2 linked regions of the Coturnix japonica genome follow. Each later gene encodes a partner of the first gene's protein in a complex. Links are inferred from orthologs where the notes say so. Each region holds a gene or a part of one and is shown on either strand. Other genes may lie near its edges.

Region 1 (8,032 bases):
CACACAGCAGCTGTGGGGCCGCAGCCATGGACTGGGCACAGCTGGGACATCACCAGAGGATGAAGGAGCTGAGAAAGGCTGCAGGGCTCAGCAGGGACCCCCAGGAGGCTTCTTTTGGTGTGGGGTCCCTTGTGGGCCCTGCCCTGGTTACGGGTCCCCTCATGCACTGCTGGGCATGAGCTGCCTCCCACCCTGCGGGGCTGCAGATCAACATTCGCCGCATCCCTTGTGCTCGTCAGAAAGAAGAACTCCTACACGAGCTCTCAGCTCCTTCCCCAGCAATCCAGAATAGAATCGGGGAAGCCCTTCAGCTGCACTGTGACTCATCCCCGGGACACGGCAGTTATTTTTGCAGCACGGAGCGGTCGATGCACATGGGGACACGATCTGTGCCTGCTCTGCAAGAAGCAGGTACCCCAGGGCTCAGCTCCAGCTCTGGGTAAGAGCTATACTGCTGCTGTGGGTCAGCTGTTGCAGGACAAAGCAGTGCTGCCACCACACGCTGCAGCCAGCAAGAAGGCAGGCAGGATCCCTGCAGGCAGCCAACACAAGGAGGGGATAAATATTCGCTCTACATGTCCTATGTCCATCCAGGCTGGGGTTGATTTATCAGCAAACATCTCTGAACTTTCACAAGGGATTCCTGTATGTGCAACCTGCGGCCTTTCAGAGCTCAGCCAGCCCCCCCAGTGGCTGTTTGCTCTGTAAGCAGGAGAGGAGGATGCTCCATGGCCACCAGCTTCTCCAGAACCACCTCCACAGGGCAGAGGAGGGACCAGCACAGCCTCAGAGGTAAAGCAGCCCTCAAACCACACTCAGCTCATGGCTCAGCCCCAGGAGCCACGAGGACACTGTGCCTACCTCAGCAGGGCCACAAGGGGCACAGCCCCAAACTGAACTCCAAGCAGCTCTGAAGCCTGAGCAGGAACAGAGGGGTTATTATGCAACGCAGGCCAGAGTAAAATATTTATCAGAGTTTAAATAAGTAACACGCAGGAAGCCAGGCAGAAAGAAAGAGGAGTGACGGACAAAGAGGGGAAGGAAGTGGCTCATCCCTTATCACCACCAGGATGGGGCACAGCTGCCCTCAGCCCCACTCCAGGACTGTCCCCACTGTTCCTACCATGTGCCACTGTCTCACAAGGGCACTCCCTCATCTCCCAGCACCCACACTGGGATACCTGCCTGGTGCTGAGGCTGCTCACATCCCAGTTACAAAGTGAAGGCCACAGTCAGTAGAAACCTTTATTAAACACGAAGCTCAGCGGAACACAAGCTTGTTAAAGGCAGTAAGTGAAAGTGCGGCTCCAGCCTGGCCCCAGGGTCCCTCCATCCTCCCTTGGAGCCAGGGAGGAGGAAACAAACCCAAAACGCACTCAGCCTGAAGGGCTGCGCAGGAAATGAAAGAGAAAGCCTGGAGACAACATTTGGTCCTCACTGGGCCATGGGGGTCCACATATTCCCCATCCTCATAACATCCTGGGGACACCCCCAGCCCACCCCAACATTCTTCCCGCAGCCATCTGATGCCTGCAGCTCTGGGGCCAGCAATACCCTGCCGGGACCCTCCTCCTGTACCATCTCCCCCCCAGCACCCACTCCTGCTGTCCCGGGAGAGCCCCTCATGGCATAAATAATAAATAAATACCCCGCAGAGCTGGCCCCTCCCAGCACAAGGAAACCTCGCGGCACCCCCAGACCACCACATCCCCCACCCCCCCTTGACCCCTCCTGGGAAACTAAACGCTGTCCCCAAGGAACAATAATAAATTAATCCAATCTATACACAGGACTGCTTAAAGCTCTGCCACGGGCACCCTATGGCTGCCCGCAGTGGGTGGGGGGGCACCCAATGGGGACCCCTTGCTCCCCAGCATCCTCCTCTTGGGACAGGAGTAGGCCCCAATGTGGGCTCAAGCACCAAGCTGGGCTCTGTCCCATCATGGCACAGAGATGCCGGATAGGAGGGAAGAAAATATTGCAGAGGGGACGGATGGAGGGGGCCCAGGGCTGCTGCAGCACAGGGACCCCAGGAAGGCACCAGAGCCACACCAAGGCACAGGGCACCACGTGGCTGTCCTCAGCCCTGCCTGCGTCCCCCCCCTTGGCAGTGGGATAGCTTCTGAAATCAGGACAAGAGCCTCAGAAGTCCAAGTGCGTGAAGTCCCCAAAGTCACAGTCAAAGAGTTCACTGATGCCCTCACCCTCCTCCAGGCCGAAGTGGTAATCCTGTGCCTGTGGTGGTGACAGGGCAATGAACTCATCCGCCAGGAAGCCCGAGAAATCGTCCTTGGCCTGCTCCAGAAGGGTGTCCATGGAGGCCAGCGGTGACAGGCTCACATCCTCTGTGGAGCACTTGGAGGGCAGTGCTGTGCCTGGTAGCAGTGCTTCTGTGGGGACAGAGCGAGGCTGTCAGCCCCACAGCACACACCAGAACTGCTGTGTTCTAAGCTACTGAGGCCATGCAGATGGCACACAAAGCATCAGGAGTGATCAGAAACATCCAGGCCAACTGGGCAGCGTGACTCAGACCACTTGCTGAGTGGTGGGACAAAGAGGGACAGTGTCCTTTCCTAAGCAGAAAGATCCAGGGCTGTCTCTGCCAAGCTTGGGTAGGAGCAGAGCCCACAGCTGGGTGGATCACAGAATACCCCAATTTAAAAAGGACTCGCTCATAAGGATCATTGAGTCCAACTACTTGGCACTGCATGAGCATGGAGGTCAGGCTCCTCCTAACACACAGCCAAGACCTCAGCCCTGTAACCTCGTGCTCCTGGAACTGGAACAACAGTGATAACACTGTCCCCACACCACAGAGCCCAGGCAGTGCCCCCATTCCATTCCATTCCCATCCCATCCCATCCCATCCCATCCCATCCCATCCCATCCCATCCCATCCCATCCCATCCCTTCCCATCCCATTCCCATCCCATTCCCATCCCCATCCCCACCTTGCTCACCAGGCAGCAGCATGTTGACATCCTGAGCAGGATGCAGGAGCGGGGAGGCTCTCTGCTGCGATGAGCCAGGGGACAGCTCCTCAGCAGGTGCCTTGAAGGGGCTCTTGACGGGGCTGCAGACCCCTGAGCTGTCCTCGGGGCAGAGGAACACGTCGATGGGGCCCTGAGTGCTTTTCACTGAGACCTGGAAAGCCTGGGGACAGGAGGGACATGGAGTGCCAAGGTGGAGTTGTACCGAGGGCTGTGAAGATCCATGGGGAGGAGAGACCCCTCACTCACCTCTGCCGGGTCTGAGACTTGCAGCTGGGTCTCTGGGGGTGCCTTGATAACCATCACCATTTGCTCAGAGGGGTCCACAATGCTCCGAAGGTCCTGGCAGGTGACGTAGGCTGCGGTGCGGCGGGTCAAGGAGCAGACACGGGGCCACATTCACACCCAAAACCCCACACAGTGACCATAAGTGTCAGAGCAGGGGGGGGCTCCATTCCCCAACAGCTCTCCAGCCCATCCAGCCCCATCCCGGCCCCGCACCGAAGGATATTGCTGGTTGGAGGGATCCTCGGTGAGCAGCCGCAGCTGCACCGTGCACGTCTGGATGAGCTCGTCCAGCTGCCGTTCTGCCGCCTGCAGATCCCGCAGCTCCTTCTCCAGCAGCTGCTGTCGGCTTGAAGCCCCCGCGGCCACCTGGCTGCCCCTGGGGTACACAGGGCTGTCACCCCCAGCACTAACACCCCACTGCTGCCATCACCTCCCGATCTCAGGGTGGAACCCAACCTCCCTCCCTCCACCCAACCCTGGCAGCTTCGGTGTTATCCCCCCACCCTGATGGACATACATCCACTGGATGTGGTTCTTGGACTTCTTGCGGATGAGCTGGATGCCCTCCAGGACATTGGTGATGTCGTAGATGCGCCTCTTCTGCACCTTCAGCACCTCGGCCGCCCAGTTGAGATCCACCACACCATCGGGGGATTGGCTGAGCAGCTCCAGGAAGCGCTTGGTGGTGAGGTTCAGTGAGGTTTCATAGCGGGATTTCTCCCCAGGAGACTTTGCCCCTGTTGGGGACAGGTGCAAGATTCAGCCGTGGGGCGCGGGGCAGCCCCAGCACCGCCACACCCGGCAGGTGAGCAGCACCCGGCAGCTGCTGGCAATGGGAAGCTCGGGGGATGGTGCTGCAGGGCCCCGAGACTGAGCCCTGACAGCGAGCAGCCGGGCAGGGCCCAGCGCTCTACGGGGACGGCAGGTGGCAGAGGGGAAGAGGGAGGTGACGAGGCCCATCCCGAAGGGCTCAGGCCGGCAGCACAGCGGGGCCGTACCTCTGCCGGGGATGCGGGCCCTGCCGCGGGCGGCGGGCAGGCTGTCGGCGATGTACTGGTGATCCGTCTCCAAGTTCAGCTTCCGCTTCACCTGCGGGACAGGGCGTCCTCAGCGCGGGGACGCGGAACGCACCGCGGCGGCAGGGCCGGGCCCCGGCCTGTGGGGGCAGCCCCGCGCAACGGCGCTGCCGGGCGGAAGGCGGCCTCGGCGGCGGCTTCCGGAGCGGCGGTGCCCCGCGCGGCCGGGCTCTGACGGGGGGGGGGGGGGGGGTCCCGCGTGGGCACCGCGACGTCCCGGCCCCGCCCGGCGGCCCGCTCAGCCCCGCTCAGCCCCGCTCCCTCCCCCGTCCCGCGGTTACCGGCGGGCGGCCCAGCGTGGGGCGGCGCGGCGCGGGGCCGGGCTGGGAGGGCTGCGGCGTGGCGAAGAGCAGGAGGTCGGCGTCGGGGCGGCAGCCGCCCGCGGGCTCCTCGGAGGCCGAGACGATGAGGAGGTGCGGGGAGGAGCCGCCCAGCAGCGCCGCCAGCCCCGCCGCGCCGCCCGCCGTAGCCATGGCTCAGGTGACGGGCGGCGCGGGGCGCGGGGCCGCGGCCGGGGCGGGGGCGCGGCCCATTGCCGGGCGCGGGGCCGATCCGCGGGGCCGTTCCCCAGGTCGTTCCGGGCCGTTCCGGGTTGTACCGGGCCGTGCCGGGCCGTGCCGGGCTGTGCCGGGCTGTCCCGCGCTCCGGCCCCGCGCGCCTTTGCGCGCCAAATCCTTTTTGCCGCGAAAGCGGCGCCAACCTCCCCGCGCCCGCCCATTGGCTGCGCCCAACGCCGAGCGCTGAGGCGGGGGTGCGGGGAAACCGTCTGATTGGTCGAGGTCGCCGGAGGGAGGGGCGGTGCCGGCCGCCCATTGGTTAAGGGCGGCGGCGGCGGACGCGCTGACAGGCGGCCAATCAGAACCGCCGAGCTGAGGCAGGAGCCAATCGGGAGGCGTCTCGGGGACGCGGCCGTGGCGCCGCGTGGGTGAGGAGCGCGGCCGGGCCTTAAAGGGGCCGAGGGCGGCGCGGAGCTGGTCCCGCGTGGGGTCACTCACAGACGGGTCTGAGCGCCGGGCGCTCCCTGCACTGCTGGGCTAGAGCTGCCCGTGACGCTGTGCGGGCTGCGGGGCTGAGCTGCGTGTCCGTGGCGGTGCGGGCGGTGCAGGGCAGGGCAGCCCATAGTCAAAGCCGCGGGACGTGGCGTGGGCGGCTCCCGCCGTCTGTATCCCGTGTGCGGGGCGCTGATAACCTCAATGTGCCTCCAACGGAGCCCAACCCACAGGGACATAAACACCCCCCCATCTCGGTACTGCGGGGCCGGAGTTGGAGCTGCGGCCGCAGCGGGGCTCAGCGGGACGGCCGGGTTAGCGCTGGGTGCGGGCGGTGCCTCACAGCGGGGATGTAGTGAACGCTGAGCGGTGTTTTGCTGCTCGTTCTTCCTGTGGCTGCGGAGCCCACGGCCCAGCCCTGCAGCACAGCACCGAACGGCAGCACCGCTCCGCTTGGCGGCGGTGAGCGCTGTTAATTAACGCTCGGCCCTTGCGATAACCCGCACCCCGGTCACGGCGATATCCCCGTTAGCGAGTGGTACGAGCAGCAGTTACACGCCAGATGCGGCCCGTTGGTGCCGCCCCGCCCGGACACACGGTCCCACCCGCCCCGGCTGCGGGGCCGTTCCGGGGCCGCGGGCTGTGAGCGGCAGCTGCGGCACCAGCTGCTCCCACCGCGCTCACAAAGGCCGGGGCAGCTGGGGGCAGCACGGGTTTGTTTTATTCCCCCCTCCCTCATTCATACGGCAGTTTATGCAGGGGGAGCGGGCTCCCCCCCCCAACCTCCCCCGTGCCAATTCGCCGAGGCTTTCAGCTCTTGTGGCACTTGAAAAGGGCAGATGCAAAGACAAATGAAAGGCAAAACAGTCACTGCGACAAATGCTGAGGGGGGAAAGGGGGCTTTTCCCCACCCGCGGATGAATCCCACCTGGCACAGCTGCGGGTGGTGATAAGCTGCCAATGGGTGCTGAGCCCTGATAGCTGCCAGTGCTGCACTGCATCTCCTGCTGGGCTGGGGGGGGTCAGAGGGCTCTGCAAGCTGCAGGCTTGGCCAACGTTATCCCTTTGTGGGCATGATTATGGACAGCCTGTGGGTCTCTAAGGCCACGCACGGTCATCTGCTGGTGGTGGGAGCACACAGGGGAGCTGGGAGGATGCAAATCTGGACTCAAACCATCCCTGCTCTGACCTCAGGGAGGGTTTGATCACAGCACTGCCCCTGGGTTCCTGCTGGGACACATTCAGCATCCCAGACTGCTGCTTTGGATTCCTACAGAGGGACCCGACCCCACATCGTTGTCCTGCCTTCTTTCAGGTTGGAACGGCGTTTTGGGTGTTTTTCCACATGGGAGATGGCACAAGTGGATCCTGCTTCCCAAGAGTTAGGAATCCTTCCTTTCGTTGTATTACTATACAGAACGCTACAGTAGCAATTTTGCCCCCAGGATACCAGCTATGGCCTTGGATGCTGAACAGAGCAAGTTCAGCTCCTTTACTTCCTTCTCTTTTACAGTGGTATCCAATGTTGAAACTCAGTATCAACCTGCGGTCCCAGGGTGAGGGCAGCAGGGCCATGGAAGCTGCTCGCCCCCCGAACCAAGACAGCCTTGTGAAGCCCCTGTGAGCCAGAGAAGTCACTGCCTGCCTCCCAAATGAGCTGCTGAACGCTGCTCCATCCCACCAGGCTCTCAGGCTGCCTTCAGCCCAGTGTGCTGGCTTACAAGGGGAGAATAGGGCAGGATGTCTTCTGCAGAGAGCCAGAGCCATCCAGGAGCATGGCTGGGGAAGAACATCTTCTGTGCTTTAAGCTTCGTACAGCACTGGGCTTGGACTCACTGTGACTTGGACTCTGTGACTTCACCCAGCCTGAGCTCACTTCCCAGCAGGTGCACAGCGCAGCCATTGGCACCGCAAAGCCAGAGGGTGGGTGAGGCACCAGCTCAGAGCTTCACCTGGAATTATGGCTTGGTACGATATGAAAGGAAAAACAAACATTGGAAGATAAGGCTGCAATCAGCCCACAGGTGTCAGTCTGGCTTCTCCCAGCCCTGGGCAGCCAGCTCTATGCTGGGGCTGCTCAGTGCTCCCATCCCCAAGGGGCTCCCACAGCTCCCCATGCCATGGGGATCTTCTTGCTCAGGGCTTTATCTCCATTACCACAGCTCTTACCTCTACCACGTATCTCCTCTGTGTAACTCAGCTCTGAAGCAGCACTCAGATCATTTGCATGTGTACTTCTGTTCCTTAGCTAATGGGAGAGATGCACGTGGGGCTCGTGTCCTCTTGAACAGTCGCACGCTCACTGAGAGCACCTGCACGTGCTAATGATAGGCTGCAAGACACCAACAAGCAGTTTGCCCTGTAACCACATCAGCCCACATTGACTGCAATGCAAGAGCCAGCCGTGTTCATTCCTGTTCACACTGAGTGCATCCAGTTTGCACGCGCTGCCAGTCATCCAGCCTCAGTTTGACCAGCTGAGATGCAGCTCCTGGGTTACACAGCAATTATGGACCCAAAATAGATACAGCGAGACCGAAAGCAAAGGCAACAAACCCTGCATTACAAAGCATTTAATTTGTTTTCCCCCTCCTCATCGCCAACCTCACAAGGAAAGGAGAGACATGAAAGTTCTAAGCGAGCTCCCCCAGCAATCTGGTGTGAACACACAGGTTGAGAATGCAAGATT
Region 2 (4,191 bases), on another chromosome or scaffold:
CAGCAGCCCTGAATGGGAACAGAGAAAATACTTCAGGATTAAATCAATAGGAGCTTCCACATCAGACAAGCTACTTGAGTGAAGGCCTGGCTGTGAGTTTGTTGTCCATCAACCACAAGCACAACTGACTTCACTACAGAAGTTACAAGTGAGTTACGATGAATGAAAATATTGCAGCAAGAAAAGCCACATCTGTGCCCAGGACCATCTGACAGCTCCAGGAATCGTTTCTCAGTCCCATGCAACATCTCCAGTGCAAGAAAGTAGGTTTAGGTACTTGCACACTCAGGGACGTGCCTGACAGATCTATTTTCAGACAATGCCTTTCTTCAAAAAGAAAATACATGCATCAGAGCAGACATGAAAGGAACAAAACAACTAGTATGACATTCATGTGAACCCATCTCCTTCAAATCAGGTGGATAAAAAGGCACTTTCCTTCTGCACATGCTTTAATATATTCAATTTCACTTATTTTTCAGTACATCGGTTTGAGCAAAACAACCAAGACTTAGAACTGTGGTCTTTCATCTCACTTGCTTGTTTATATGGAAGCACCAGTAACAGGATTTCAGTTCATGTGTTACATTCAAACAAGTAACAGTAATGCCCTTAGAGGAATAACTTCCACGTATGCCGTAGGCCCTGCTCCAATTAACACAGCAGCAGCTATTATTCACAGCTTAGACACAAAGCCAGCTACCCTCATCACTCCATACAGAGACTTGCACAAATAAGCACAGTCAGATTCACCACTTACAGTGAAGACTGATTAGAATTGTACATGTGGCACGAAACACTCTCCTCTACAACCTCAAAGGGATGCTGATGCTTAAAGCTCACCTTTCAAACACCGTCAGATTTTTTGGAGACGGCCATACGTCTTCAAAGCTTGCACATGCCCAAACACCGGCGTGATGATCCACGAGGTATTTCAGATGGGAATGCACCTACAAGGTATGAAGGGAAGCATCAAGTTATTATTAAAATAAAGGGATCAGCAAAAAAATAGTTGGTGATCTAATTTTAGATAGGCAACTAATTAATCACAGCTCATCATAACTCTCTTCCTAGGACAGCAAATATCTGTACACTGCATGTATTTTCTAGCTCTCCTCACAGCTCCTTGGATGTAGGCATTCCTCTGTGCACTTCTGGCTCCAGGGGCAGAACTAAGGCAGTGCGTGGCAGGAGGGGCCGGCACTCACTGCTCTGAGCAAGAGGATGTCCTCAGTGGGAAGGTCTTTCAGAACATGAAGGAGAACATCCTCAGGCAGACTCAGCAGCGTCAGGACTCGGGGCCGTTTTCTTATCTTTCGCTTGGAAGGGAAAGAGAAGCACCTGGAACAGCGGCAGTGAACCACTGCAGAACAAAAACAACACCACGGTTAGTGACAGAACAGCAAGAGGAAAAAGGCGCATACAGAATGTGTGTTTAATTAAGTAGAGTGCATCTTCAAGCACATCAACCATAGAAACTCAGCTTGCAGCACAGGACACTGGAGGACCAAACCATAAAGAAATGACTCGTTCAGTTCAGCCAATTCAAGGCAGGTGCCCAGAAGGGACGGCGCACCCCCATCACTGAGCACATCGCCCTGACCCCATCGTTTGGCTGCACTGAGCTCAGCTGTCACTGCTGCATTTCCATGTACCTCCCCCAGGCTACAACTTCTTATCAATTGATAACAGTCCTTGAAACGTGACCGGAGGGATTAGGAAGGTAAAGGCCCATTGAGCCACCCGAGTCCAAAGCCCATCGCTGTGGGCGGTGCTGCTGGCAGACCCCTCACAGCCAGTTCCATCATCTCACAGCGCACAGCACGGCCCTGCAGCAACGTTCGGGTTGAGAGCTCAGCCCCAGCACATCCGAGAGACGGGAATGAGCCGAGGGACGAGGGGGGGCCGGGAAGAACAGAGTAACGCGGGCAGGGACAGAACGGCCCGAGGCTCCCATCCGTTGTGCCGGCACAGGGCGATACCCGCCGCGAGCAGCCGGGTCCGCCGGCACCGGGAGCCACAAACACCGAGTCAATATAACCAACAAACAGCAGGAACCCAAACGATGAGCGGAACCGGCACGAAGCGCACGGACACAGCGGGGCGAGAGGCAACGGGCCGCGATGGGCGCCCAGCCACCGTCAGTCACCGTCAGTCACCGCTCCCACAGCACAGCGGGGCGCTCAGGGACGGGCCGGGCGGTTCGCGGGCGGCAAACAGCGCTGAGAGCGATCGGCAGCACGGGGACGGCCCGGGGCGCTTCCTACCGCTCACACAGCGCCCGGCACCGCTCACGGCCCCGCACGGAGCGGCACCGATAGAGCGGCACCGATAGAGCGGCACGGAGCGGCACCGATAGAGCGGCACCGATAGAGCGGCACCGATAGAGCGGCACGGAGCGGCACTGCCGCGTCTCGGGGCGAACCGCCGCCCCGCTGCGGCTCCCCCCGCCCCTCCATGTCCCTCCATGTCCCTCCATGTCCCTCCATGTCCCCGCCGCCCCCCCCCATCCCGCATCACCCCGCTCCTCCCGCACAGCGCTCACAGGAGCCGCGCGGACCGAAGGAACGCAGGCAGGGAGGCAGGAAGGCGCGCGGCCCGCACTCACCGCCCGCCTTCATCCTCGCGGACCGAACGCACCGACCCGGCACCCGAAGCGGCTCCGACCCAACTCAGCGGCCGTGAGGGGCGGCGATACCGCACGGGGCGGCGATTCCCGCACGAGGCCGCGCCCCCCCGGCTCAGCGCGGGGCCGGGAACCAGCGCGAGGCGCGGCCGCCCCCGCCCACACACACGGCGGGACCCGGCGCTGGCTCCGCCCACAGCGCGGGACGGACCCGCAGAGCCACGCCCACAGGGCGCGCGCAGCTCTTTTCAAACACAGCGCGGCTCCTGATTGGTCGGGAGGATGACGGGAGGTGGGACCCACCCCGCCCCGCGCGCCGCCATTGGACGGCGAGGATGCGAATTCGAACTGGGGCGGTTGGCGGGTCTGGAGCGCGGCGGGTACTGCGCATGCGTGAGGAGAGAGCGGCCTGCGGGCTGCCACCGCGCGGCGGGACCGGGCGGACATGGCGGGTGGGAGCGGGAGGGACCGGATACATCCGTGTGAGAACGGGGCTGCAGCGCTGACAGCTCCGTGTGCAACACAGTGTGCACTCAGTGTGTGCTCAATGTGCAACCCAGTGTGCAGCTCAGTGTGCAACACAATGTGCAACTCAGTGTGTAACCCAGTGTGCAACCCAGTGTGCAACTCACTGTGCAACCCAATGTGCAACTCAGTGTGCAGCCCAATGTGCAGCTCAGTGTGCAACACAATGTGCAACCCAATGTGCAGCTCAGTGTGTGCTCAATGTGCAACCCAGTGTGCAGCTCAGTGTGTGCTCAGTGTGCAGCCCAATGTGCAACTCAGTGTGCAACACAATGTGCAACTCAGTGTGCAACACAATGTGCAACCCAATGTGCAGCTCAGTGCAGCTCAGTGTGTAACTCAGTGTGCAACACAATGTGCAACACAATGTGCAACACAATGTGCATCTCAGTGTGCAACTCTGTGTGCAGCTCAGTGTGCAGCTCAGTGTCTGGGCCGGAGGGTTGCAGTGCTGCAGTGCGGACATGCCCGGCAGGACATGGAAAATGACAGAAAAATGAAGGAATATTGATCTTTTTGAACTGGGCAGTGCTGTGAGCTGAAGTGCTGATCACACTGTCAGCTTCTGTTCCTTGTTCTCCCCGTCGCAGCTGTTTCTGTCAACTAAAAATAAGTTGAACTAGAAAACAGAACGTGAATAATGAGCTCCCTGTGGAGAGTTAAATCCCATCAGGAGAAGCTCCTTGACCCACAGCTCCCCAGGTAGATCCTGTTCTTGGCAGCAGAGGTTGCAGACCATGGCGGGGATGAGCTGTATCACAACGCTGCTCTTCCAGTGCTTGATACTGAAAGTGCATTGCTCGTCTATTGGAACAGCAACGGGCCCGGCTCAATGTGGAATGAAGCTAATGACACCTGTAGATGTCACCTGCAGGGCTGGTAGCAGGTCTGTGAAGGATGAAGGACATGCAGTGCGATAAATTAGTCCAAATAATATTCTGTCTTTTCTGTGAAAGTGATGTTAATAGTGAAGATTTTCAGTGGCAATGAAATCCAGCCTGGTTTGTCCTTTCTGGAGACTGATGATGGAACATCCACAT

Evidence for each region. The genes of interacting proteins can lie anywhere in the genome.
Region 2: the proteins of E2F1 (region 1) and CCNF are in contact, whole or in part, in a cryo-EM structure (PDB 9CB3), measured with the Homo sapiens proteins. The link is inferred for Coturnix japonica from reciprocal best matches to the Homo sapiens genes E2F1 and CCNF. Residues at the interface, in NP_005216.1 of Homo sapiens: Gly84, Arg85, Pro87, Val88, Lys89, Arg90, Arg91, Leu92, Asp93, Leu94, Glu95, Thr96; in NP_001752.2 of Homo sapiens: Met309, Ile312, Leu313, Asp315, Trp316, Glu319, Val320, Met323, Arg349, Leu352, Gln353, Trp379, Leu380, Thr381, Asp382, Thr384, Asp504, Tyr505, Val508, Leu510, Thr511.

The regions. Positions count from the first base shown.
Region 1 is NC_029535.1:1,931,492-1,939,523, reverse strand, and holds E2F1 (transcription factor E2F1), read right to left. Parts: upstream 4,843-8,032; 5' UTR 4,828-4,842; coding exon 4,636-4,827; intron 4,368-4,635; coding exon 4,277-4,367; intron 4,016-4,276; coding exon 3,796-4,015; intron 3,655-3,795; coding exon 3,502-3,654; intron 3,355-3,501; coding exon 3,240-3,354; intron 3,154-3,239; coding exon 2,961-3,153; intron 2,391-2,960; coding exon 2,143-2,390; 3' UTR 1,232-2,142; downstream 1-1,231. UniProt on the Homo sapiens protein: Transcription activator that binds DNA cooperatively with DP proteins through the E2 recognition site, 5'-TTTC[CG]CGC-3' found in the promoter region of a number of genes whose products are involved in cell cycle regulation or in DNA replication.
Region 2 is NC_029529.1:12,341,347-12,345,537, reverse strand, and holds the start of CCNF (cyclin-F), read right to left. Parts: upstream 2,801-4,191; 5' UTR 2,622-2,800; coding exon 2,609-2,621; intron 1,364-2,608; coding exon 1,209-1,363; intron 951-1,208; coding exon 844-950; intron 9-843; coding exon 1-8. UniProt on the Homo sapiens protein: Substrate recognition component of a SCF (SKP1-CUL1-F-box protein) E3 ubiquitin-protein ligase complex which mediates the ubiquitination and subsequent proteasomal degradation of target proteins.